Linked DNA regions of Arabidopsis thaliana. The protein of the gene in region 2 purifies or fractionates together with the protein of the main gene of each other region. This does not show direct contact. Each region holds a gene or a part of one and is shown on either strand. Other genes may lie near its edges.

The links. The genes of interacting proteins can lie anywhere in the genome.
Region 1: the proteins of AT4G04940 (region 2) and PWP2 fractionate together in Arabidopsis thaliana (co-fractionation; one large-scale study listed by BioGRID). This does not show direct contact.
Region 3: the proteins of AT4G04940 (region 2) and AT3G26480 fractionate together in Arabidopsis thaliana (co-fractionation; one large-scale study listed by BioGRID). This does not show direct contact.

What each region holds. Positions count from the first base shown.
Region 1 is NC_003070.9:5,304,698-5,312,365, reverse strand, and holds PWP2 (periodic tryptophan protein 2), read left to right. Parts: upstream 1-2,807; 5' UTR 2,808-2,905; coding exon 2,906-4,147; intron 4,148-4,247; coding exon 4,248-4,499; intron 4,500-4,587; coding exon 4,588-4,680; intron 4,681-4,820; coding exon 4,821-5,192; intron 5,193-5,291; coding exon 5,292-5,636; intron 5,637-5,719; coding exon 5,720-5,947; intron 5,948-6,036; coding exon 6,037-6,207; 3' UTR 6,208-6,339; downstream 6,340-7,668. Other genes in the region: BOR4 (HCO3- transporter family), read left to right, coding at 1-84, 165-331, 418-591, 666-761, 838-954, 1,046-1,383, 1,477-1,756, 1,906-2,025 and 1 more; AT1G15430 (hypothetical protein (DUF1644)), read right to left, coding at 6,576-7,355. UniProt on the Arabidopsis thaliana protein: Involved in nucleolar processing of pre-18S ribosomal RNA. Plays a role early in ribosome biogenesis, especially in the maturation of 5.8S rRNA. Required for guard cell functions.
Region 2 is NC_003075.7:2,509,833-2,519,661, forward strand, and holds AT4G04940 (transducin family protein / WD-40 repeat family protein), read right to left. Parts: upstream 7,386-9,829; 5' UTR 7,221-7,385; coding exon 7,095-7,220; intron 7,013-7,094; coding exon 6,985-7,012; intron 6,872-6,984; exon of another isoform or gene 6,851-6,871; coding exon 6,750-6,850; intron 6,657-6,749; coding exon 6,453-6,656; intron 6,345-6,452; coding exon 6,101-6,344; intron 5,719-6,100; coding exon 5,543-5,718; intron 5,458-5,542; coding exon 5,375-5,457; intron 5,098-5,374; coding exon 5,025-5,097; intron 4,553-5,024; coding exon 4,487-4,552; intron 4,293-4,486; coding exon 4,250-4,292; intron 3,889-4,249; coding exon 3,749-3,888; intron 3,470-3,748; coding exon 3,257-3,469; intron 3,136-3,256; coding exon 3,051-3,135; intron 2,924-3,050; coding exon 2,629-2,923; intron 2,533-2,628; coding exon 2,268-2,532; intron 2,174-2,267; coding exon 1,948-2,173; intron 1,855-1,947; coding exon 1,640-1,854; intron 1,530-1,639; coding exon 1,380-1,529; 3' UTR 1,196-1,379; downstream 1-1,195. Other genes in the region: DES-1-LIKE (fatty acid desaturase family protein), read left to right, coding at 268-1,086; GRXS17 (thioredoxin family protein), read right to left, coding at 8,050-9,270, 9,765-9,829.
Region 3 is NC_003074.8:9,685,944-9,693,704, forward strand, and holds AT3G26480 (Transducin family protein / WD-40 repeat family protein), read right to left. Parts: upstream 5,024-7,761; 5' UTR 4,885-5,023; coding exon 4,765-4,884; intron 4,676-4,764; coding exon 4,499-4,675; intron 4,409-4,498; coding exon 4,262-4,408; intron 4,189-4,261; coding exon 3,843-4,188; intron 3,718-3,842; coding exon 3,599-3,717; intron 3,519-3,598; coding exon 3,441-3,518; intron 3,319-3,440; coding exon 3,154-3,318; intron 3,074-3,153; coding exon 3,029-3,073; intron 2,926-3,028; coding exon 2,756-2,925; intron 2,671-2,755; coding exon 2,592-2,670; intron 2,503-2,591; coding exon 2,426-2,502; intron 2,346-2,425; coding exon 2,216-2,345; intron 2,129-2,215; coding exon 1,999-2,128; intron 1,917-1,998; coding exon 1,750-1,916; coding exon of another isoform or gene 1,726-1,749; intron 1,700-1,725; exon of another isoform or gene 1,675-1,699; coding exon 1,330-1,674; downstream 1-1,329. Other genes in the region: AT3G26470 (Powdery mildew resistance protein, RPW8 domain-containing protein), read left to right, coding at 201-608, 700-957.

The sequences.
Region 1 (7,668 bases), on a different chromosome or scaffold from region 2:
GACTTCTCGGCCTCATTTTCACCTTTGGCCTTCTCTACACCGCTTTGAAGAGTCGAAAAGCAAGGTCTTGGCGATACGGAACAGGTAAGATAGATGAACCTTCTCATGCTTTGGTGGTCATTTCTGTGTATGATCGGTCTAAAAGTTTCTGGTTTCTTGAAAAGGATGGTACAGAAGCTTCATCGCAGACTATGGAGTTCCTTTGATGGTTGTGGTTTGGACAGCATTGTCTTTTAGTACACCATCAAAACTCCCCTCTGGTGTCCCGAGAAGACTCTTTAGTCCTTTACCATGGGACTCTCCTTCTTTATCACATTGGACTGTCATCAAGGTTACAAAAACACAGTACACTAAAGATAATTGATTCATCATCCGAGCCAAACTTAAAGTTTTAATACATGGATTTGGTCTGTACAGGACATGGGAAAAGTCTCTCCGGGTTACATATTTGCGGCATTTATACCCGCATTGATGATCGCAGGGCTTTACTTCTTTGACCACAGCGTTGCCTCGCAGCTCGCTCAGCAGAAGGAGTTCAACCTCAAGAAGCCTTCAGCGTATCACTATGACATTCTCTTGTTGGGTTTCATGGTATAATCAATCAAACTACCTTTACAACATTGAAAATATATGTTAAAATCTCTAAAACTTTGTCTTTGTTTCAGACGTTGATATGTGGATTGCTAGGTCTGCCTCCTTCAAATGGAGTCCTCCCTCAGTCTCCTATGCATACCAAAAGCCTTGCTGTTCTTAAACGACAGGTTTAATTACTTCTCAGTTGTTGATCCACTCACTATTCAGGTTAAGCTGGTCTTAATGAACCTGTTTGATTTTCAGTTGATCCGGAGGAAGATGGTAAAGACAGCCAAAGAAAGCATCAGGAAGAGAGAAACATCCTCACAAGTGTACGAGAATATGCAAGAAGTCTTCATAGAAATGGATAAAAGTCCACTTGTAAGTAGTAGACTCATAATTCAATGTTCCGGTGAAAGAAAAATCAAGATTTAATTTAGAATAATCATAAGCTCTTGCTTTTAAAAACCAGGCTCAGACAGATCCATCAGTGATAATTGAGCTTCAAGATCTGAAAGAAGCAGTAATGAAGAGCAATGATGAAGAAAGAGAGGGAGACGAGGAGAGTGGTTTTGATCCAGAGAAGCACCTTGACGCTTACTTGCCTGTTCGAGTCAACGAGCAGAGAGTTAGCAACTTGTTGCAGTCACTGCTTGTGGCAGGTGCAGTGTTGGCTATGCCGGCCATTAAGCTCATACCGACTTCCATTCTATGGGGATACTTTGCTTACATGGCCATCGACAGCCTCCCGGGAAATCAATTCTTCGAACGCTTAACGCTTCTCTTCGTTCCAACAAGCCGGAGATTCAAGTATATGTTCTGAAAATGATCTGTTTTTTTTTTCTTCAAGTTATTATTATTCAGATTTCTCTTCAAAGACTGATCATGCATTGTTGTTTTCAGGGTCTTGGAGGGAGCACACGCGTCGTTCGTGGAGAAAGTTCCTTACAAGTCAATGGCTGCGTTCACACTGTTGCAGATATTCTACTTTGGGCTGTGCTATGGGGTGACGTGGATTCCGGTGGCTGGAATCATGTTTCCGGTTCCTTTCTTCCTCTTAATAGCTATCAGACAGTACATTCTCCCGAAGCTCTTTAACCCGGCCCATCTCCGAGAACTCGATGCCGCTGAGTACGAGGAAATCCCCGGTACTCCGAGAAACCCGCTGGAACTGTCTTTCCGGGTTAGTCCATATCTTAGCAATATCTACATTTTTGAGGATCCCGGACTTTGGACTAAACCATGGAGGTTTTCTTGTCATCTAAGGCATCTACAGTGACCTAAAATATTTGAATTTGTTGAATTTAATGCCAAAATAAACTTGTTTTACAGTCGAATGACTCGAAGAGAGGCGTCCAAGAAGGCGATGCTGAGATTTTAGACGAGTTAACGACAAGCAGAGGCGAGCTTAAAGTCCGTACATTGAATCTTAACGAAGACAAAGGCAACCAGGTTTTGTTTTGTTATGCATCCTTGATATGAATCTTAACTTTGTGAAAAGAATTATAGACTCAAGATCGCTGTTAAAAACCTGCAGATTTATCCCAAGGAGAAAGTAAAAGCAGGAGACGGGGACATGAGCACGACAAGGGAGTGAGTGAATCAACAAAAAGAATCAGAGATTATTCTTTCAAGTGATGATCATGATCATGATCATACGCAAAACTATATAGTATTGTAGAACACAGATTGTATGTGGCTTTCTTTTTTTTTTTGGTTCTTAAACCTAAGATGATGTGTGTGTTTGTCAATATAGTCTTCTTAGCAATGAAAATCGATAAAGAATTAACACAGCGAGAATGTTACGGATATGTAACGTAACCTTCCAAGAAAAGGTACTAAATTTCAAAAAAGTCAATGTGTTCCTCATAATTTCAATCTATGAGTCAATAATCACTTTACCATAGACTAAAATTCATTTTGTTAACTTTTTGTGTAGAAGAAAAGCAAAGGATAGCTTCTCTTCTATGGTAAAGATGCGAATCTGTAGTTTGTTTGATGTTCTCTGCAAAATTCGCATGTATAAAATTAATTAAACGTTTAGAAATATAATAGATGAACTTTATAGTACAAAGGATCCGTGGCGCAATGGTAGCGCGTCTGACTCCAGATCAGAAGGTTGCGTGTTCGATTCACGTCGGGTTCAAATATCCCGAATCTTGATCCTTAATTTTTTTTTCCTCTTGGGCTTACTACGACTACATAAGGAGGAAGCCCATATATGCCCAACAACTAAAATCCAGTTCATAACAGAAACCCTCGTTAAACCTAACGCCGTAATTATCGCCTCCGGCATATCAATCCTCCGCCTTCTCATTCTTCTCCAGACGCCATGGAGTTCCGTTTCGAGAATCTTCTTGGCGCTCCTTACAGAGGCGGGAACGCAGTCATCACTAAGAATACTCAGCTAATTTCACCGGTTGGTAATCGTGTCTCCGTCACCGACCTAAGTAAGAACCATTCGGTCACTCTTCCGCTCGAAACCTCTACCAACATATGTCGCCTCGCTTCCTCACCCGACGGTACTTTCCTACTCGCCGTCGATGAACAAAACCGATGCCTTTTCATCAACTTGCCTCGGCGGGTAGTTCTTCACAGAATTACCTTCAAGGATAAAGTCGGTGCCTTGAAGTTCAGCCCTAATGGTAAGTTTATCGCTGTTGGAATTGGTAAGTTGGTGGAAATATGGCGATCACCTGGTTTCAGGCGAGCTGTTTTGCCCTTTGAGCGGGTTAGGACTTTTGCTAATTCTGATGATAAAGTTGTCTCCTTGGAGTGGAGCTTGGACTCTGATTATTTGCTTGTTGGCTCAAGGGATTTAGCTGCTAGGTTGTTTTGTGTTAGAAAGTTGAAGGGTGTTTTAAATAAGCCATTTTTGTTTCTGGGTCATAGAGATTCTGTTGTGGGTTGCTTCTTTGGTGTTGATAAAATGACTAACAAGGTCAACAGGGCTTTCACGATTGCAAGGGATGGTTACATTTTTAGTTGGGGCTATACTGAAAAGGATGTCAAAATGGATGAATCAGAAGATGGCCACTCTGAGCCACCGTCACCTGTTACTCCAGATAGGGCTGATGAGGTGATGGTGGAAAATGGTGGTGGTGTTGGTACTGAGCTTAAGAAACGAAAAGAGTATGACGGTAAAGGTCTTGAATCAGATGAAGAAGGAGATGATGATGATGAAGAGTATATGCACAGAGGAAAATGGGTTTTGTTGAGGAAGGATGGGTGTAATCAGGCATCAGCAAAGGTGACCGCTTGCGACTATCATCAGGGACTTGACATGGTTGTGGTGGGGTTCTCAAATGGTGTTTTTGGGCTTTATCAGATGCCAGATTTCATCTGTATCCATCTGCTCTCTATTTCTAGGCAGAAGCTAACAACAGCTGTCTTCAATGAGCGTGGTAATTGGCTGACCTTTGGTTGCGCGAAACTTGGGCAACTGTTAGTCTGGGATTGGCGAACCGAAACCTATATACTGAAGCAACAAGGACACTATTTTGACGTCAACTGTGTCACTTACTCACCGGATTCGCAGCTCTTGGCAACTGGTGCTGATGATAACAAAGTCAAGGTAATGAAATTTCATAGACTTAACTGTTATGTTCTATACCATGCTTCTCATCTATTTCTGAATTTAACCAGCCCGTTTTTTATTATGTTACATTTTTAAGGTGTGGAACGTTATGTCAGGAACATGTTTCATTACATTCACCGAGCATACCAATGCCGTGACTGCTCTTCATTTTATGGCTGACAACCACTCCCTCTTAAGTGCATCTCTGGACGGCACTGTTCGTGCTTGGGATTTTAAAAGATACAAGAACTATAAGACATACACAACCCCTACACCCCGACAATTTGTTTCCTTAACAGCAGACCCGAGTGGTGACGTCGTCTGTGCTGGGACCCTAGATTCATTCGAGGTAATTCAACTTAGGCCCTGAAGGATTTCAGTCACCTACTCACAAATACTTTGGTGAGGTGAATCACTTTATGCTTGCCTATGTGCAGATTTTTGTATGGTCCAAGAAGACTGGGCAAATAAAGGATATTCTGAGTGGGCATGAGGCTCCTGTTCATGGGTTGATGTTTTCTCCCTTAACGGTAAAGAAACTGTCATAGTCTCATACTTCTTTTAGTCAAAATACAATTTGCTTCGTGCCTCTGAACAATTATGTGAACTTCTGCCTTATGGTGTTATAACTTCCATGCCTTATCTAGTTCATATATTTCTTTCTCTGCAGCAACTTTTAGCTTCATCCTCATGGGACTATACAGTTCGGTTGTGGGATGTGTTTGCTAGCAAAGGCACCGTGGAAACGTTTCGACACAACCACGATGTTCTAACAGTTGCTTTCCGTCCTGATGGGAAGCAATTAGCCTCGAGTACGCTAGATGGGCAGATCAATTTCTGGGACACCATTGAAGGTGTGTTAATGTACACCATAGAGGGGCGGAGAGATATCGCTGGAGGTCGGGTCATGACTGACCGTCGGTCTGCAGCTAATTCAAGTTCTGGAAAGTGTTTTACAACATTGTGCTATTCCGCTGATGGAGGGTATATTCTAGCCGCAGGAACTAGCAGATATATTTGCATGTATGATATCGCAGATCAGGTTAGCTAACTAGCTCCTCTTGGAGTTCAGGTTTTCTTAAAGCTTGTGTTCTTCTGATAAAGAAACTTAGTCAAAGTGTCTGGAATATCACCTTTTCAGGTTCTTCTGCGCCGGTTTCAGATATCCCATAATCTTTCGTTAGATGGGGTTCTGGACTTCTTGCACTCTAAGAAGATGACAGAAGCAGGACCAATTGATCTGATCGATGATGACAACAGCGATGAAGAAGGTGGCATTGATAAACAGTCGAGAGGGAATCTGGGTTACGATCTGCCTGGATCCAGGCCTAACCGTGGCAGGCCCATTATCCGGACAAAAAGCCTCAGCATTGCCCCAACTGGAAGGAGCTTTGCTGCTGCAACAACAGAAGGAGTCCTCATCTTTTCAATTGACGATACCTTCATCTTTGATCCGACCGATCTAGATATAGATGTTACTCCAGAGGTGAGCCTTTTGTAAATCGCTGATGGTGGTTATAGTTCTGATTATTGGTTTTGAAATGTAAAGCTAAGGTGTTGTTTGTGTAGGCTGTTGAGGCTGCCATAGAAGAGGATGAAGTTAGCAGAGCACTTGCTCTAAGTATGCGTTTGAACGAAGATAGCCTTATCAAAAAATGCATCTTCGCTGTAGCCCCTGCAGACATAAAAGCTGTTGCCATCTCTGTCCGCCAGAAATACTTAGAAAGGCTTATGGAAGCTTTGGTGGATCTGCTTGAGAACTGTCCTCATCTGGAGTTCATACTTCACTGGTGTCAGGTAATGTCTCGTTTTCTTCTCTTTTTTGATAAATCTCTGCTCAAATGCTCTCAACTTAATCAAACTTTGTGTTGTCTTTTTATGTGCAGGAAATCTGCAAGGCTCACGGAAGCTCCATTCAGCGGAACTACAGAACTCTATTGCCTGCACTGAGATCGTTGCAGAAGGCGATCACCAGAGCCCATCAGGATCTGGCAGATATGTGTTCTTCCAATGAGTACACGCTTCGCTACTTGTGTTCTGTTCCAAACAATCATTGATTATGTTTTCTGCATTATGTATCACCGGAAATTTTCATCTTCCTTTTTCGGTTAAACAAATTTTGAGATTTTGATATATGAGTTTCTAACATCTGAATACAAAATGGAGCAAAGAAATTAAACAGTTTGCAGGCAACCATAAAAAGTACGAAGAATGTGAATAATTTGATTTAAGCAGAGATTTTTGAATAGGCAAAAGATGATCCTAGCTATGAAGACTTCACTAACAGAAGCTAACATACAAACAATATTAAATTTATGCCTAGAACAAGAACTGATGTCGCTACAAGAACATTACATTATGATAAAAATCAAGAGACATCAAAACTTTTGGAAGAATTCCTCATAGACTCTGGCACTCAGAATCTTCATGGCGTCCATCTGGGATACATGGGGGCATGGAACTCCAGACGGGGTATGTGAGCCGGGTAATTGTCGGTGCTTGCACGGCTCTCCATGGACGCACCAAGAAACAGATTATGCACCAACGCATCAAAGTTGAGATCAATCATGGGATGACGATATGGAAGCTGATGGAGAGAAGTCGCCAACAATCTCTGTTCTGCATCCCATCTCTGACGAGCGTTGAGCATTTCAATGTACTCCGCCTCTCTCTCCAACTGCTCCCACATGTGTTGCTCCCAAGGGTCTAACTTTGGCGGTGTAAAACCAGGATGCTCAGTTTTCAAGTGATTTTTCAGCTGCGCATAGGTCCCTGAGAAATCGCACTTGTCAACAGTACAACACCTCGGTCTAGCATTCATGAATCTCCGAGCACAAGTCGACTTCATAGTCCCCTGAACCTCTCCTCTGCAGTAGGGACAATGTAGAGTCTTGCCACTACAACGGCTTGAGCTGTTGCTTCTGCGGTACTGCTTGAAACAATTGGAGTGACGAGCGCTTGTATCACACATGTAAGCACGACATCCTTTGGAGAAAGAAGAGCATTGCAAGAGGACAGCATTGTGAGGAGGCTCCATACAAATCACACACCTCACATCCTCCCATTCACTAACACTCTCTAACTCAACAGGTGACGACGACGCCTCGACTTCTTTTTGTTTCTTGTTCCTGCAAGAGCGAAGCGGGTATGGCGATACTCTATTTCTGTTGCTAGAAACCGGCATTTTCCCTCTTTCCTTGTGCATCCCACACACTGAAATCAATAGAAACGAGTGTTAATTCACACAACAAAATAACACAGATGAATATGAAAGCCAAAGAATCCATAATCCATTACATCCGAATAGATACAACCCAAATGTTAAACAAAGATCAAGGAAACAGAACAAGGACGAGCTCAAATCAGTCTATATTGTACGGTATTCGAGCATGAACATAATCCCACTGAAAACTACATTCTCAGCAGATGATAATCAAACAAGAAAGAGACAATTTTTTTTTAATTTATTGATAAAATAAATTGAAACTATTAACTTATCGGAAACAGTTCTAGGGGTT
Region 2 (9,829 bases):
TTAATAATTTGTTTAGTAGAATTTTTGTATTTTTGTTTTCAATTATATTTTTTTATCATATATTTTAGTTACAAATATTATGTTTCAAAAGATTCTGCTTATTTGGCATAAAAGTTTCTCTATCGTTAGGGCTATTAGCTAAAATTTGGTTAGATTTTGGGTTGATGAATGTCACATTTCACCCAAAATCTTTCAAAATATTAAAATTTGTTTTGATGTTATCTAAACCCAAATGAATAACCAATTTTGTATTTGTTGTCTATACAGATCACATTAGTAGTAATTCTTCAACTCTCAACAGCTGCAATCCTTCACAACTCTGGATGGCTCAAGATTCTATCCATTGCTTACTTCTTTGGATCATTCCTCAACCACAATCTCTTCTTAGCAATCCATGAGCTAAGTCACAACCTTGCCTTTTCAACTCCTGTCTACAATCGTTGTCTCGGTATTTTCGCAAATCTCCCAATCGGTGTACCAATGTCAGTAACTTTCCAAAAATACCATCTCGAGCATCATCGGTTCCAAGGAGTAGATGGTATTGACATGGATGTTCCTACTTACACCGAAGCTCATTTAGTAACCAATATCTTTGCCAAAACAATTTGGGTTTTCTTACAACTCTTCTTTTACGCTCTTCGTCCTATCTTCATCAAACCAAAACCACCTGGCTACTGGGAGTTCATCAACTTCTTGATTCAGATTGTTTTAGATGTATCAGTTGTTCTCTTCTTCGGATGGAGATCTTTCGCGTATCTAATCTTATCGACATTTGTTGGAGGCGGTATGCATCCAATGGCGGGACATTTTATCTCGGAACATTATGTTTTTAACCCGAATCAAGAGACTTATTCGTATTACGGTCCATTGAATCTACTAACATGGAGTGTTGGTTACCATAACGAGCATCACGATTTCCCGAGGATACCGGGAAATAAGCTGCATTTGGTGAAGGAGATTGCAGGAGAGTATTATGAAGGATTGGAGTCGTATAAGTCATGGTCACAAGTGATTTATATGTATATTATGGATACAACAGTTGGTCCTTATAGCAGAATGAAGAGGAAGCTCTCAAAGTCTGACTAATTTTTCTTTGTTTCTTACATCAAACTCTTCTTTTATTCTATTTTAGTATTTTTGTTTTGAGGGTTGATTTTTTCAACTTTATTGGAGGACAAATCTGTGATCTTAGGTTGCAGATTTTATGATTTCTCACGGAATTTAAACCCTATCATCCAATTCAGGATAACGTTGACATGTTCCATTTGATACATGTTAATGCTAAAAGACAGGGCAATATATTAAGCTTCTTCAAAATTGCTATTTTTGTGAAAAAACAGAGCAACATCAAAAACAGAGCAATAAGTTAGTAAGCTTCTTCAAAACTGTGAATTGCTAAGGAAGGTAACTATGCATCTTGTGCTCTGGAAAAGCTTCTCCATTTTCTGCCACACCAAACTCTGAGTTTCTAAAAGCTTCTTCGCCTTCTCTTGTAAACTCGGGTGGCACCTTATGGTCTCACCGTGGATCTGTCAACAGATAAACCGAGTTTTGTTAAGAGTCAAGATTCTTGTAACCTAAAGGTGTCTCTGTAAGAAACTGATTCCTTGGTTATACTGGAAATGAAATTTACATTTACCTTCAGAAATAGTTTCACAACCGCCTGCATAAACTCAAAGTCGTTTTTGCAAGAGACCTCGTTGATGAAGTAATCCAGAAGTTGCCCAATCAATATAAACTCAGGTCTTTTGATAAGCTCTTCTTCAACATCTTCATCTATGATTTCAAGCATCCGAAGCTCCATGTCGAGAGCTGACGGGGATAAACTCTTCATGTAGTTGGTAAAATCTAAAACTGCAAAACATACATGGAGCTAAGAATCGTATTGTACATTGACGAGAAAAGCTTTGATTAACCTGTAAAACTTAAACAAATACCATCACTTACAGTGTTTTGAATCCCATGAAGACTTGAGATGTTTTGAGAATGGAGATTCCAATGCATCAAAGTTCTTCATGCTATTCTGGTCCTTTTTATTATTTTCCTCATTCTCCCCATCAGCCTCAGAGTCATTTGCCTTGAATAATATATCTCCAGACAGCGAGGGAATTGAGGGCAAGAAAAAAGGAGCCTTTTCAGGTTTCTTTGGAGGCTCTATTGGTTTATTGCGGGCCTATGAAACAACATCAAATATAAATTGTAACTGGAAGACGCAACAAAGAAACAAACCATCAATAAAAAGTTGAGAAGAAAAAGAATATGCATACCTTAATAATATCCAAGTTGATCAAACTCTGCCATTGGCTTTTTGGCAATAGAGACAGAGTAACAAGTTCTGGGATCTGCTTTTGGGAAATTGAGAAACTGCTAGCTTGTAGAGCTTCAGAATTTTCTAACACTTGCCTGTCCATATCATCATCAGCTTCAGAAGATGTCAATGCAGAGACTGAAGGCAACTTGACATTTACGACATCTTTCCCACTAGCATAAGATTCAACACTTGGAAGCCCAGAGAACATGGATTGGTTAACCCTGAGAGGTCACAAGAGGAGAGAGTGAACTCATCAAACAATCACAGAGAAATTGTAATAGTAAATGAGAGAACTGAAGATTGATTTGAGAATTTACCACAAGTAGACCCCGTTCTGATCAGAGTGGGCAGTTGCCAAAACGTCCATATTTGGTGATAAAGACAATGCTGTTATTGGCACATCGACATGCACACCATCAATCTGCTTAGCCAATATGACATCCCATATTCTAAGACTTCCATCCATGCTAGATGAGATGACCCATTTGCCATCCTCACTAAAGCACAAATCCGTTATACGGTCTGTATGACCTCTAAATTCACGAACCATCTTTAGTGTCACAACATCATATAAACGGATAACAAAATCATCCGCCACTGTAGCCAAAAGACCTACCAATTGATAAGAAATTAGCAAAGTCAGAGTCAATACGGTGGTACCCTAGGAGAAAATGACGGAAAATGATACATTTGTGAGATCGTACAAGTGAAAATGTAGGGTTAGATTAGGAAAATTTACCATTTACACGGTGGTAGACAATTTTAACCAACGAACATCCGACATCCCACTGGGACTTTAATTCCCGCTTTTTGAAATCCCAAACCTGTATTACACAAATGAAATATTAGAGTCTATTTGACTCATAAACTAGAGTTAATGTTGAAGGTAACCATATCAACTAAGTAATTAATAACTTAAAGAAAGAACAAGAAAACATTCCAAACCTTTAAGTCCCCATGATATCCTGCACTAATCATGAGTGTGTTTGTGGAGTCGCAAGCAACTCCAATAACTTCTCCATCATGGGCGTACCTTCTTTTCTCTGACATATCGAAGTAACTACCCCGGCTGATTCCAGATTGGAGGTTGAATCTCTCAATCCATCCACCAGCTGTTCCGACTACTGCAAAGTTTCCACAGGCACTGATTGCACATGCCTATCAGACAAGCAATTTTTTAAGAGATCAACAACCACTAGAGAGAAGAAAAAGACCAGTATTGCTAAAAGAAGATGGTTCCTAGATACAAAGACCCCCTGAACATGCTATAAGGAACTGTAACTAAACTCATTTTTTGTAGAATTGGTTATTCAAGGGGGGTCAATAATCCAAATTCCAAGTTCTCACAGTAATCAATTCCCACCTATAAGGACTAAAGCACGTCTACTTTTCTTGTTCAGAAGAGTGTCAGAAGTAAATATAATTTCAATTTTGAACCTTAATTGGTGTTGGATTCTCAGGGCATGGTTTGAGGATATGCTCTCCAAGTACAAAGTTCTGAAGTCTCCATACATATGCTTCTGCTGTATCCATATGGCAAGTAACAACATTGCACCAATCACGCTCCCTAATTTCAGCTTCAATTTTTGGAAAAAAAATAATAACAGTCAGTAGGATGTATAACTAGACAATAATATAAGTTGTGGGAGATGCAGTTTTCTCGTCATCAACATGCAAATTCATAGGACAACATAAAGTAAGATGTAAGCTTCACTTCACAAAATGTAATTTCTCTATGGGGTTCAACCAATAAACGTTTTCACTATTGAGAGCCAACCATTTTGGACCTAATTACTGCTCAACACATTTTGTAGAAATCAATTGGTTTCTACTTTTTAGTCTTGTTTGTTCAGACATCATAATATTAAGAATGTGACTGAAAGAAACCAAGCAACATAATTACATGAAAAGTAAAGATCAAGTTATATAGATACGTACCGCAATCAAATGAAACAACAGGCTTCAATTTCAACTCTTCCTCCTACATATAGAGGAAAAAGAATATAAGCGAAAAAGATATAATTTCCAAGCACACATATTACTACGGACACATAAAATATCAAAACACAGTATACATAAGGTATAACATTTGTTAAATTGAATCAGAACCACTTGAAGCATGCTAACTGGCCATGGAAAACTTGAATAAAATTAAAAGAAATCCTTTGGCTATACCTTCAGTCGGAGTTTTTTGGCTCGCCTAGAAATGTGTCTTTGAGAAAGCTCTCTACTTTGTTGCTCCTGATGAAGTAATTAATGTAAATTAAAAACTGTTATCGTCAATGGACATCAGATCTTTAGTAACAATACAGACCACAAATTAAGAAACAATAACTCAACATTTAAGAGAACAATCAGATTCATGAAAAAATCAAACAAACAGGTCGGTGAAAAAATACCCATCAAAATAACAGTAAGATATGGCGAATGAAAGACGGAATAAGAAAAACTAAACTTTGCGTCTAAACAGTACATGATGAGGAAAATGATTGCTAATTAATTAATTAATATGACAAAAATGAACTCAACAATCTTTTATGATTATCTGTTCAATGCCCAAGGAAGACTAATTTCCTAACATTTGTGATTGTAAAGTGACAAATGAATAGTCAATGTCTACAATATAGCTCAAAAGTTACAGACTATCAATATGCTAGTTAGTTGTATTAAATCTCGATATAGAATTGGTTACTAAATCTGTATCGTATCTTACCTGGATGACAGAGAACAGGCGGAAGGCACGATCCTGGCCAGCAGACAAAATGTGCCGTCCATTAGAGTAGAACCTACCACAAGTAGAAGTCAGATATGATTAAGAGACCCTTTATTGGCATGCCCTCGATATAGCCACCATGAAGTAAATACTCTTATTAAGAAACACAAATATTCATCACTACACAGATAGTCAACTGGCAGGGATCATAAATGGAATTACTTTAACAACGAATAGGGATCATAAATGCTACTTACACACCAAAATGTATAAAGTCTCACAATAACGAAAGAAAAGCTAAATGGAAGCAATCAGATAATTCAGTATGATGTGGACGTCAAGCTAATTACCTGATACATAGAGGAGGAGCACTATGCCCAGATCGGAAGCGTAATAGGCGAGGATCACCATCATTTGTGTCAAAAATCCACATCTACAGGAACGAGGCATAAAACAAATATTATATGTGGCAAAGTGGATGCAAATAGGTTCAACGGGTAAGAGGAATCTTAGCTTACTTTAAGTGAGTTATCTGCTGATGCACTCATTAGCACCGGCTCATTGGCTAAAAAGTTCAATGAGATTATAGAACTGTCATGTGCATCCCTAATGACTGACTGAAGCCTTTTTTTGTTAAGATTCCAGATGCTTATGACACCAAAGGAACCTCCAGACGCAAGAAGGGGACGTCCATCTAACATGACAGGATAAACAACACATGTTAGAACTGGAAAGTATCGAACTTCCATTAGCTATAGAACGGTTACTACCAAAAGTTACTAGTAAAATTACAACCTACACTAATGGATCTCTTGAGCCTGAAACATGTATGGACAATTCTAATTCATGAAACAATGGGTGCATAGATGGTAAAGCTATGTAATGGAAAAATAAATATTTAGCTCCACTTAAAGACAAATGGACGAAATTATTTTTGGTCACTACACTCATAGGATATCTATCAGCAAGAAAAGATTGATAAACTATTATCCGCTACGAAATTAGATTTAAAAGGTAATAAAACCAAGAAGCGCTCAAAGATTTTACAAATAGAACTACAGGGCTTAGGTGTTTACCTGTACTGAAAGACAAAGCAGTAACAGCACCTCGCGAGGCATGTTCAAATGTTACGATCTCTTCGTCCAATTTTATGTTATGTACATGGATCTTTCCATCAGCACAACCAATTGCAACAACATCCAGGGCAGGGGATGAAACACAACTGGTGACAGATGAACCCCAACCCTTAAACTGATAGAGCATCTTCTTAGTATTAATATTCCATAGCTGCAGCGGACCCTCTTGGCTCCCTACAAGAACCTACCAATGTGGTTCCAAGTAAGAGAAACATGCAAAGAGTTAGAAAGGCTTGTCAACAGAAGACACCAGGGGAAAAAAAACTGAAATCCTGAACCAAGTATGACTCACCTTGTTGAGATAGGTATCTGGGTGAACAATAGAGGTAGGGGTAAACTTTCCAGTAAGCTGAAGATTTCCAATTGGAGCTAGATGTTCTTCGATTCCTTTGAATGCCCATATGAACATATTTCCTTCCACGTCAAGACTAAGCACATGTTCTCCAAACACCAGTAGAAGATCAACTTTAGCAACATGTTTGCTCCAAGTTGCTACCTATAGATATACCCACAAGAATTCCAACTATAAACAAAGTACTCATAGATATAAAAAAAGCAGCAACTTAACTATAGTTACAATGAGATATACCTGATGAGCACGCCTAAAGACAGCGATTTCATTGCCAAACGCAACAAATGTGTAGTCTCGGTAAGAAGCTAAAGCTCTAATTTTCTTTGGAAGCTGAGGACCTTTAAGATAACACAAATTAGATTATAAGAAAATTTACACTGCATAGACAAAACCCAATTCTAAATGCATGAATTTGAGTAAGAGAATGATTGAAAGGACAAAACTTTAGGTTTCAGAAGAAGGAAAAACTTACTGATTATGACTAGATTGAGCTTGGCACACTGCAACAAGAGAACCAAATTAACAACAGAATCGAATGAATAAAGAACACGCAAGTGAAACTATGAAGATTGGGAGCGTTACATTATAAATCTGGAAAGCTTTGCCGACGCTGACGGTGACGAAAGTCTCGGTACCCAATCGCTGGACGGAGAACGGAACCGTACTCGTTATGTAACCTATTGCTCTAAACGGTTCGAAAATTCCCATCTTTCGAGTTCGAACAAGAAATTAGGGTTTCCTCGGAAAAACGATTTTAGGATTATCAAATCAAAGAAAGGTTTTTTAAGAGCTTGAGAGAGAAAACGCGGCGCAGGAGCGATGGAGGAGATACAGCAAACAAGACCTTTGGGGTTTAGGGTTTAACGAAATTTCTTTGTCCGAATTTTAATTTTATTTTCCGGTTTAAGTGTCCGCTCGGTTTATACAGGTTCTTTATTTGGTTTGGAGAATGTTAAATTTGGTTTGGTAAAATTATGGTTCGGTTTTGGCTAAAAGTCATTGAAATGTAAAACCAAAACCATTTTAGTTTAATATTTAACTAATTGTCAATATCAGTATCAATTTTAAAATTATGATGACTTTTGGTTTAAATCTTGTTTAAATGTACAAAGTCTCGGTTAATGCTCGATTGCAGTTTGGTCTAAACTCTAAACAAATGATTTCCATTCGGTTTGATTCTAAGAAATTTGAGTTTAATCACACAAAATCCCAGCCGTCGGATCTTAAGAAACTCTGTAACATAGAAAGATTGGTGTTAATCCTAGCCGTCGGATCAAGCTTTCTTTGTTTAAACCACTCTTTGTTTTGTTACTCAGTCTAAAAGCAAATGTGGTCAAGATAACCATAAATAAAGATTATGTTGATACAAAGAGAGAAAAATAGTTATGAATCTAATAGACTCAGCAATAGAAATAACAAGACAAAGCTTGAGAAGCAACAATATCAATGTTTGTAACACCTAAAACATATTATTACCATAACTGAAATGTTCTCTCTCACCAAGGCAAACCAGCAGACAGAGACTTGTATATATTACTTACTCGGATAGAGTTGCTTTGAGATCACCACTCTCACTTAGCTCCATAATGATATCACATCCTCCAATTAACTCACCTTTGTAGTATAGCTGAGGAAAAGTTGGCCAGTTTGAGAAATTCTTAATCCCTTGCCTTACTTCTTCATCAGTCAAGATATCAAACGATCCGAAACTCACGTTTTCTCCTCTCAATGCTTTCACAACTTTGGAGCTAAATCCGCATTTCGGTTCATCTGGTGAACCTTTCATGAATAGCATTACTTCCGAGGAATTGATCAGTGCCTTCAATCTATCTTCAAGACTCTGTTCTCCAGTGATCCCTTTCTCGGTCAAGACCTTTTTCAGCTCACCGCTCTTTTGCATCTCCAAGACAATGTCTGATCCACCCATAAGCTCGCCTTTCACGTAAAGCTGAGGATAGCTTGACCAGTTTGAATACACTTTAAGGCCTTGGCGAACTTCGTCATCTAAGAGGATATCGAAACTCCCAAACTCGATTTTTTCTTGGTTGAGGATTTCAACCACTTTCCCACTGAACCCACACTTTGGTTCTTCTGGTCTTCCTTTCATGAACAGCATAACTGGTTTGGAATTGACCAGACCTTCGAGCCGAGCTCGGAGGGTCTCACTTAAGCCTGTGTTTCCTGAACTAACCCCTCCTCCTTTTCCAGCTTCATCCTGACTTTCTTTTGAACCAACTGTCGTGATCCCAAGATCTTTGAAAGCATCTTTTAGTTCACCGCTCTCGTGCATCGCTATTGCGATATCAGCTCCACCAAGAAGCTCTCCGTTGCAGTACAGCTGAGGAAACGTTGGCCAGTTAGAGAATTTCTTCAAACCCTCTCGCACTTCGTTATCCGATAGTATGTCAAAACTTCCAAAATCAACGTTAACCTCTTTCAAAATGTCAACTACTTTCCTGCTAAACCCACACCTAGGCTCTTCAGGAATACCTTTCATGAATAACATGACAGGGTGAGAATTAGTGAGCTTTTCCAAACGGCTCTTGAGAGCATCGGCGGTAGATACAGGCTGAGCTCGGTCTTGTAAAGAAGCTTTCGCATTCTCCTTCACAGTTTCAAGAATCGTTGGCCCAGCAGCCAACCCTAAGCTTGCAGGAGCAGCAGGCTCCGCAGAAGTACTAGAACCAGCAACTTTGCCAACCTTATTAGCTAAACTTGATGGATCTGCACCCTCAAGTGTATCCACAGTTTTACCATCCTTCAATAAGAAAACGAATTCACAGTCAGAAGAAAGTAACAACTTTCAGAACAATCATTACAGTGCAGTGACAAAGATTCAAGCTTTGAACACACTCTCAATCCTATAAAGACAGAAAATTGCAACCAACCAATTAAAACAAAGAATCAATAAGTCTGGAGCTAAATGGATAGGCGAACCATCTTCTTCTACTACCTGATTAGATAAACAGCTTTCAGTAATCTAACAGAGACGCAAACTAATCAAAACAAAAACCCTAAATCCTAAACTTTCGATCAAAACATAGGGACAAAGATTCAAACTTTTGAACACACTCTCAATGCTATAAAGACAGAAAATTGCAACCAAACAAAGCAACATAAAGAATCAATAAGTATGACTTCATCAATGTCTTCTTCTTCTACCAAATTAGACAAACAACTTTAAGCAAAAACAAAAACCCTAAATCCTAAGTTTTGATCAAATCATAGGGAACAAAAAAAACGTAACTTTACCTTGAAGAAGACGAAATAAGGCACAGCAGCAACAGAGTAAGCCTCAGATATCTCAGGATGTTCCT
Region 3 (7,761 bases), on a different chromosome or scaffold from region 2:
TCTACCTTCTCATTAATTTCCTTGTTTCTTCTTCATTGAACTCTTGAACAAATATTATATGGAGATGTCACTTGTCACTTCGAGTTGCTAGGAAACTTCCACCGGTGAATTCCTCCTCTATACAGATTAATTAGTTCATATCCCCTTGTCTCTCAGCTCTCTATCTCCACACTTTTTCTCTTTAACATATCCTTTACTAAATGGCCGTCACTGATTATTTCGCCGGTGAGATAGCGACGGAGCTTTTGAAGCAGCTCTTTCTGATATCTGCGAGAGCAGGCCGGTACAAAAACACAGCCGACAACCTCAGCACCTTGATCGAGAACATTCAACCGACGATCAAAGAGATCCAGTACAGTGGAGTTGAGCTGCCTGCTCACCGCCAGGCTCAAATCCGTATACTCTTTGAGTCTCTAGAGAAGGGCAAGAAACTCATGGACAAATTCTTAACATGCAATCGTTGGAATATGATTCGACAGTTATATCTCATGAAGAAAATGGAGAAGCTAGAGAAGACCCTCTCTGATTTCTTTAGGGCTTCCATTTTGACACACATCCTTGCCGATCTTCATCTTCTCCGGGCCAATTCTGATGAACGTTCCCATGAGGTCTATCTATCTTTGTTTTCTTCTCTCTCCCTTGTGATTTCTTGTTCACCAAGTTTGAAGGCCATCTCTATAATACTCGTTTCTTTTGCAGCACGTCACATCAACCAAAGGGTGTGACTACGACGGACTTGGCTCAATTCAGTACCAGCACATCCAGCCTAACCTAGACATGGATATGCGGGTCACCATTTTGGAGGCTGAATTCCGCACCTTCTCCAACAACGTCATCAACAACATGCTTGCGATGAAGCGAGCGCAAGATGTCTTACTACGAGCCAACGGCTTTGACCCCGAGACCCTCCTACCGATGATGTCTCCTCCTGCAGCCTCCATGAATCCTCCTGCTTGACCACATACGACTTAGGATACTTGCAACCCACTCAACCTTGCGGACTACGATCTTTAAAACACAAATTGCTTTCGATTTATGTTTTTCAATTTGTTAAATTATGTTTCAGTCACAATTTTAAATATAATTTATCGTCCACTACTCTGTTTTAGCTTCTTCTTTTTCCATACGTTACAATTGACCTTACTTTTTTACGTATTAAAGAGAGAATTGGTTTATACACCTCAAATCAGCAGGTTCTACATGATGAATGAAGCCCTTTTAATATCAAAACAACCCTTTTAGTAGCTGAAGGAATCAGATTGTATCTCTAACAAAAAGGCTACCAACAAAATGATGTTATCCAAGTTGGGTTCCAAAATATGGGGTCTCTCAAGAGCTATGTCTTTCAGGTTGTCTATCTGCTCTCTCACACACCTCTTTCTGCATCCGGGAACTGAAGAACGAAGCGCACAAGTCGGGGAAAGGCGGGAAATTGAGTGTTGATCCACAAAACATTGTTTCCCAAGGTTTCTCTGACATCAATGCTTTCTTCCTAGATCTCTTCTTCTTTTTGCTTATTGCTGCAAGAAAAACTTCATAATCTATGGCGCTAGTCTCGAGTTTTTCATCGCTATAAGGATCAAATAGAACATATTCATGGCTCCTGTTTACATACGCGAGAAGCGGCTGAGACTTTTTACCATCTTCCACAAATGAAAGTGTTCCTCCTCTGGCCTGCAATAAACATTGTAATCAAGTCTCTTAACGGCAATGAGAGAACTTTGATTAATCCTTCCTTAGAGTATATACCTTCATTACAGTCCAAATAGCTACTGGTTTAGGGCCTGACCCATCAAACAAGAGGATAGCACCATCTTTCCCGCGGAATATCTGTTCGTTAGATTTTACCAACCTATCAGATTCTGGAAGCCATGTTAAAACTGCAAAGTATGGTGAGTCCACTTCAGTAGCAATGGCTGCAAATAAACAGGAAAAATGAAATATACTTAGACAACCAAAAAAATCAAGATTTCATGATCAAAAAGATAAATAATAAACCTTCTATGTATAATCTATATGACCATGATAAGCAGAACGTCATCAGATCCCAGACAGATAAGTGCGGTGTGGAACCATGGGATGCAGCAATAAGGAAGCCTCCTCCAGTGAATGAGAGTTCCATAATTGGCTGAAACATTTACATATCATTTAAGATTTCAACAATGACTGTAACTAATGAACATGGAATTGCTTTTGTGTGTTATACAAGTCTTACCGCATTTGCCTTTCCAACTACATACAGGAGTTCGTTCTTTAACGGGTGCCAGATCGTAATAACTGTTTTAGCCGCAAGAGCCAGACAAGAACCATCCCCGGAAAAAACAGCAGCTGTTATTGGCGTTCTCCTGAAAAATATTACATCAATTTCATTTGACATCACAACGACTAAGTAATGAGAGATGTTAAAAGGTTCCTAATCTTTTACTTATAAGAGCCAACTCCATGACAAATCCAGTTTGAGTCCTCAGGTGTCAGATTCTTGTCGCTACTGCAAACCCAAATCTTGACAGACATAAAGTCATATCAGTAACACAAAAGGTCAAACGATATTCCAAGGAAATGATCCATTTTTCACTACTCTGTAATCCTACCTTGAAGTCCCCAGCAGAAGATATACTAACAGCCATGGAACGGGCGGGGTTAAGGGCAATGGCTGTAATTGCAGCTTCCCTGTGAGAATACAGAAGGATCAAAAGTTACACTCACGATGAGAATCAAGGAGTTTAAAAGTTTATAAGAACATTGAAGTAAAAACCTGTGAGGTTGATTTATGACTGTCGATAAGCTGAAAGTTTTGCTGTCCGGTACAAATACCCAAAACTTGAGAGAAACTATGCCTTCACTGAAATTGCTTGCAGCAAATCTGGCCTCAGCTGTAGTCATTACTGAGCCATTCCGAGAGAGAGCAACCGCAGTCACGAGAACCTATTTTCCATAATTCTTCAAATTATTACAAAACAGAAAGAGAGCGGATCTTTTACTAGTAACAACTATGTCATCTTACAGAGAAGAAACAAAATGTACTAACCCGGACTTGATCATCATCGTCTGGATGATGATCGCAAATTTGAACCTGCATATGTTAGGTTTGTTAAATAGTAAAATCATACAACTATCAGATACAAAACTCAATAAGCCTTTTGGGAAGCTAACCTCTGAAATGTCATGGTCACTTAAAAGGTTGTAGAGTTGAACACGATGATTCGCTGTGCAGAAAGCAGCTATACCGGAAGAACGATCAATGGATACAGTTCTGGTGAGGCATATATCCCGCGTTTTGACGTAGCATATAAACCCGTGACGCTCTGGTGTCGGAGGCTATTACATAGTAAAGAACACAATATGCATGTGAAGTTAACTCCAACAGAAACGGTATACAATATGAGCATGCTTAAACCAACAATAACAAGGAAAAATTTCGGATGATAGTAAGAACGAACCTTGATTCCAGATATCGTTCTCAATATCTCCATGGAAGGCATTTTAAGAAGATGAATTTGATTATCTGCACAAATCACCTGAAAATTCTTGATCTTAGTAGAGTTAATGAAACACTTCATTTGCTTTCTACGGTTGTTGTAAACGGAAAAACTCTTACAGAAGAAAGAGTTGAATCTGAAGAGAAGATGAAATACAACAAGGGAGATCCAATCTTTGGCAAAAGTTGCTTCTTCCCTGTACCTAGCTCCCAAACAACAAAATCACCTGCCTTTACCCCTAAAAGAGTCACAAGCAAAGGAAATATAGCATAAGAACTCAATATATATATATATAAGAAACATGAATTCCTTATCAACACACAGAGATACAGTCACTATGATGAAAAAATAACTCAGACTCACCAGAATACAAAAGTGCTCCATCTGAAGAGAAATTAAGGACGGTTACTTCAGCGCTGTGCCAGTTGAAAGTAGTGCAAGATTCAGTATCATCTTCAGTTTTCACTGAAGTAAATTCTCCAATACCATTATCCTTCCAAATTAACACTCTTCCTGTTACATCACCGGCTGCTAATATTCTCTGATTGGGATGGAAAGCAAAAACAGTAATCAACTCTGTATGATGTAATGTCGTCTCCTTTGGCATGAGGTGCTCTGATGCCACATTCCATATATGTATACTGCAGTTATGACAGACGCCGAAAAACTCTCCAGAGGGACTTAAAACAATAGGTTTTGGTTCTTCCATCTGCACATTAACAAAAATGATTATAGAATCAAACATGAGGCTAATCGAAAAATGGTTAATCCACAAATCTGACCTCTTTCAAAGTGTCTCCACTATGAAGAGGGTCTTGAGTGAGATCATATCTCCGGATTTGTCCAAACAAATCTTTGGACACACTTGAATAGTCCTCAACCGAAACATAAGCAATCACGGAATGTGACACTTGAGCTGGAATCATCACCTACAAAGTCCCAACAGACACTTAGAAAAGGGCAATTGAAAGTTATCAAATTTTTGTTTATAAGCTGCAAAGTATGGAACTTTAACAGACCAGAGAGTGAATTGGAAGGTGGGTATCAAATATCTTCAAAAGCTTCGGCGCAGAGAACTCCCAAATCCGAATTTTCCCATCGAGCGACGAAGTCCAACAGTAACTGACGGTTTCGTCGGAAGACGGATCAACAATCACAGACGTCACAGGCGCTGTATGATCCTCGAGTGAAGTAATCTTAAAAACACACACACGCATACGCTAATGAGAGAAGAAGATTAGAGGGAAACCCTAAAAGGAAGGATGCTCGAGTCGAGAGATAAAACCTTTAAGCCAGTGGCGACGCTGTAAACAGAGACGGTGTTGGCTGTGCATAAAAGAAGCTTCTTTGCGTCTTTCGAAAACGCCGGAGCGGAAGTAATGTTGTTTCTTCCGCCGCGAATCATTTTCCTTCAACTCACGGAGATTCTGAGAAGACGCAAACATCTTACTCGGCGATTAAAAATTAGATTTTGCGACGTTTTTCCGACGAAATATTACAATGTACCCAGTTTTCGAGGAAATTATGTCTGTGACCAAATTGCGACTAGTACTTAGTACTATATGCTTGTACTTGTAGTTTCACTTTCTTCGTAACACCTGGCTCTGTGATGACTCCTCTCATTCTCTTCCTCCATGTTTGGGTTTCGCTTCTTGGACTAGGCCTTGACCTTGTTGGGCCTCGGCCTGTTTGTTTATTTTTTCTGTTTTATCTTTAATAAAATGAGACGGCAAGAAAATAACTTACATAATTTTTCAAGATCTTAAGTATTTTGTATTTTCTTAATTTATGTGAAAAACCCTGTGGATAAACAAAATATAATGTATAGTCCAATAATTGGAAATTTTGTAGTTAACAAACTCACTTCGTTTTAACAAAATATGGATGGATGATTCAGAGGCATAGTATGCGACATTAACTGTATTACAATGGTCGACAATGACTTTGATTTTTGAGGTCGTCCAATAAATACTAAAATGTATGGGTATGATTTTAGGTTGACCAATAAACTTCGATATCCATCGTTAATTCCATGAATGTTTTAAAAAACTGAAGTTGCTTCTATTATATATAAGTTAATCTATTTTATAATTTTATTTTATGACAGTTTAGCTATAATTTCTTTTCAAAAACATTTATGTTCTTAATTTATCAATCTATCACTTTCCTCGTCAACATATTACTTTTTTTATAAATCTTTTGCATATGACTAGCTTATCGGAAAATCGTTCATATAGATAGCGACATAACTAAAATAAAATTAGAAAGATGATATTGTTTTGATATAGTGTTTGTTTGTCTTGTTTCAAAAGACTATGCAATCAACTAGTTGTGCGTCTTGTGGATCTAACAGTTTTAAAAATGTTTAGGGTCAATAGTTTAATCAGACTTGGAACGGTAGTTTATACCTTTAGATACAATATTATCTAAGGTTAATTTATGTCATGGAAAAGTTATATATAGACAAAATGTTCAAAAAATTTAGGATTTATTGTGAAAAAACGAGAAATGGTAGATGATTCATATACATATCAACTTATTCCAAAGTAAAAAGTTTAAGAAATAAGAAAAATAAAAATTGTAGCGTAACAAACATTGACATATGGCTCGTTGGAAACAAACTAAATGTAATAATTATAGTTGTTCATCAAACTATTCGCATACAACCATCATGAACGATGACTAAAAATGGGAGACAAAGTGGGACTTTTGTAAATCCTACGTTTAATGAATTAGAATGTTGAATTATTTTTTCAGATTTTTATACATATGAATTGTTGCTTTCAGTGTTCTCTTAACCAATGAAAGTAAAGATGCTCAAAGGCTAAATATAAAGAAGATAAATTTCATTTCTCTTGATTATTCTCTTTAGGGTTTAAGATTACATCATGTTTCCTTTCATAGGCATTATAATCTTAGTGACACTAGGGTTTTCACTGACACATGTCAGGTCTCTATTGATCCTAGACAGTCAAAACAGTTTTGTAAAACCACTCCTTCTTTTCCAGCACAGCTCCTTGTTTTTGTCCTTTGATCCAATCTTGATGTACTTTTGGTTTTGTCTTCTTTTGCAGGAGATGACCGTTGGAGCTGAGAGTTGTTTAGGGTCTGCGCTTGGGCCTGTTGTTTATTGGGCTTGAGGTTTGCTGCATTCTCAATTTGGCCCAATCTCAGAACCTTCTTGATAATGTCATCTGAAGAATTTACCTTTACAGATTCCTCTGCTTCGTGTCCGATCACAGCTCTGATCTGGTTCTTCTCTTCACCAATCCGAGTTGTTGTCTCAACACAAGATGCATTCTCTCTAATAGCCCCCCGCAAACTCGGCGTAGGTGGAACATCGACGCCTAGTTTGTAACGAAGATCGCAGAACGGCTTGATGGGGAGAGATTTGGTGAAGATGTCCGCGATCTGTTGATGACCAGGTATGTGCTTCACAATCAGAGCTCCAAGTGCTACTCTCTCTCGAACATAATGATAGTGTAGCTGAAAGTGTTTACTTCTTTTGTGGAAAGCTGGATTCGCAGAGAGATACACGGAGGAGAGATTGTCGCAATAGATTTCTGGAGTGTCAAGTAGAGGAATGCCCAATTCCTTGAGAACAGATCCTAACCAGGTTACCTCCGAGGCAGTGTCAGACAGAGTTCGATATTCAGCTTCGGTTGAGCTTTTGGAGACTGAATCTTGCTTTTGTGAGGACCATGAGATGATATTTGTACCAAGGAAGGTACAGTAACCTCCAATGGATCTTCGTGAGTCTATGCAATTTCCATAATCACTATCACAGTAAGCTCTCAATCTGCAATATGTGTTCTTATTAAAGGAGATCCCCATTGTTATAGTTCCCTTGATGTACCTCAGAATTCGTTTGAGCAGATTGAAGTCAGACACTGTTGGAGCATGCATCTTCTGGCAAACAAAGTTAACAGCAAACTGTATATCAGGTCTTGTTAAGGTAAGATATTGAAGTTTACCTGCAAGACTTCTGAAATATGTTGGATTGTCAAAGATTTCATCTTGTGCAGGTATAGCAGTCAACTGAAGTGGCAGATGAGTAGGCATTGGAGCACAATCACTCATCACAGCCACAGCAAGAAGATCTTCTGCATACTTCTGTTGGGAGAGAAACATTCCTTCTGAATGAAACTGCACTTGAATCCCCAAAAAGTAATGTAGTCTTCCCATATCTTTCATTCTGAATTCAGTATTCAAGCTGTCTAATAGCTTTGACATCGCATCTGAACTGTTTCCTGTTATTATCATGTCATCAACGTAAAGCAGC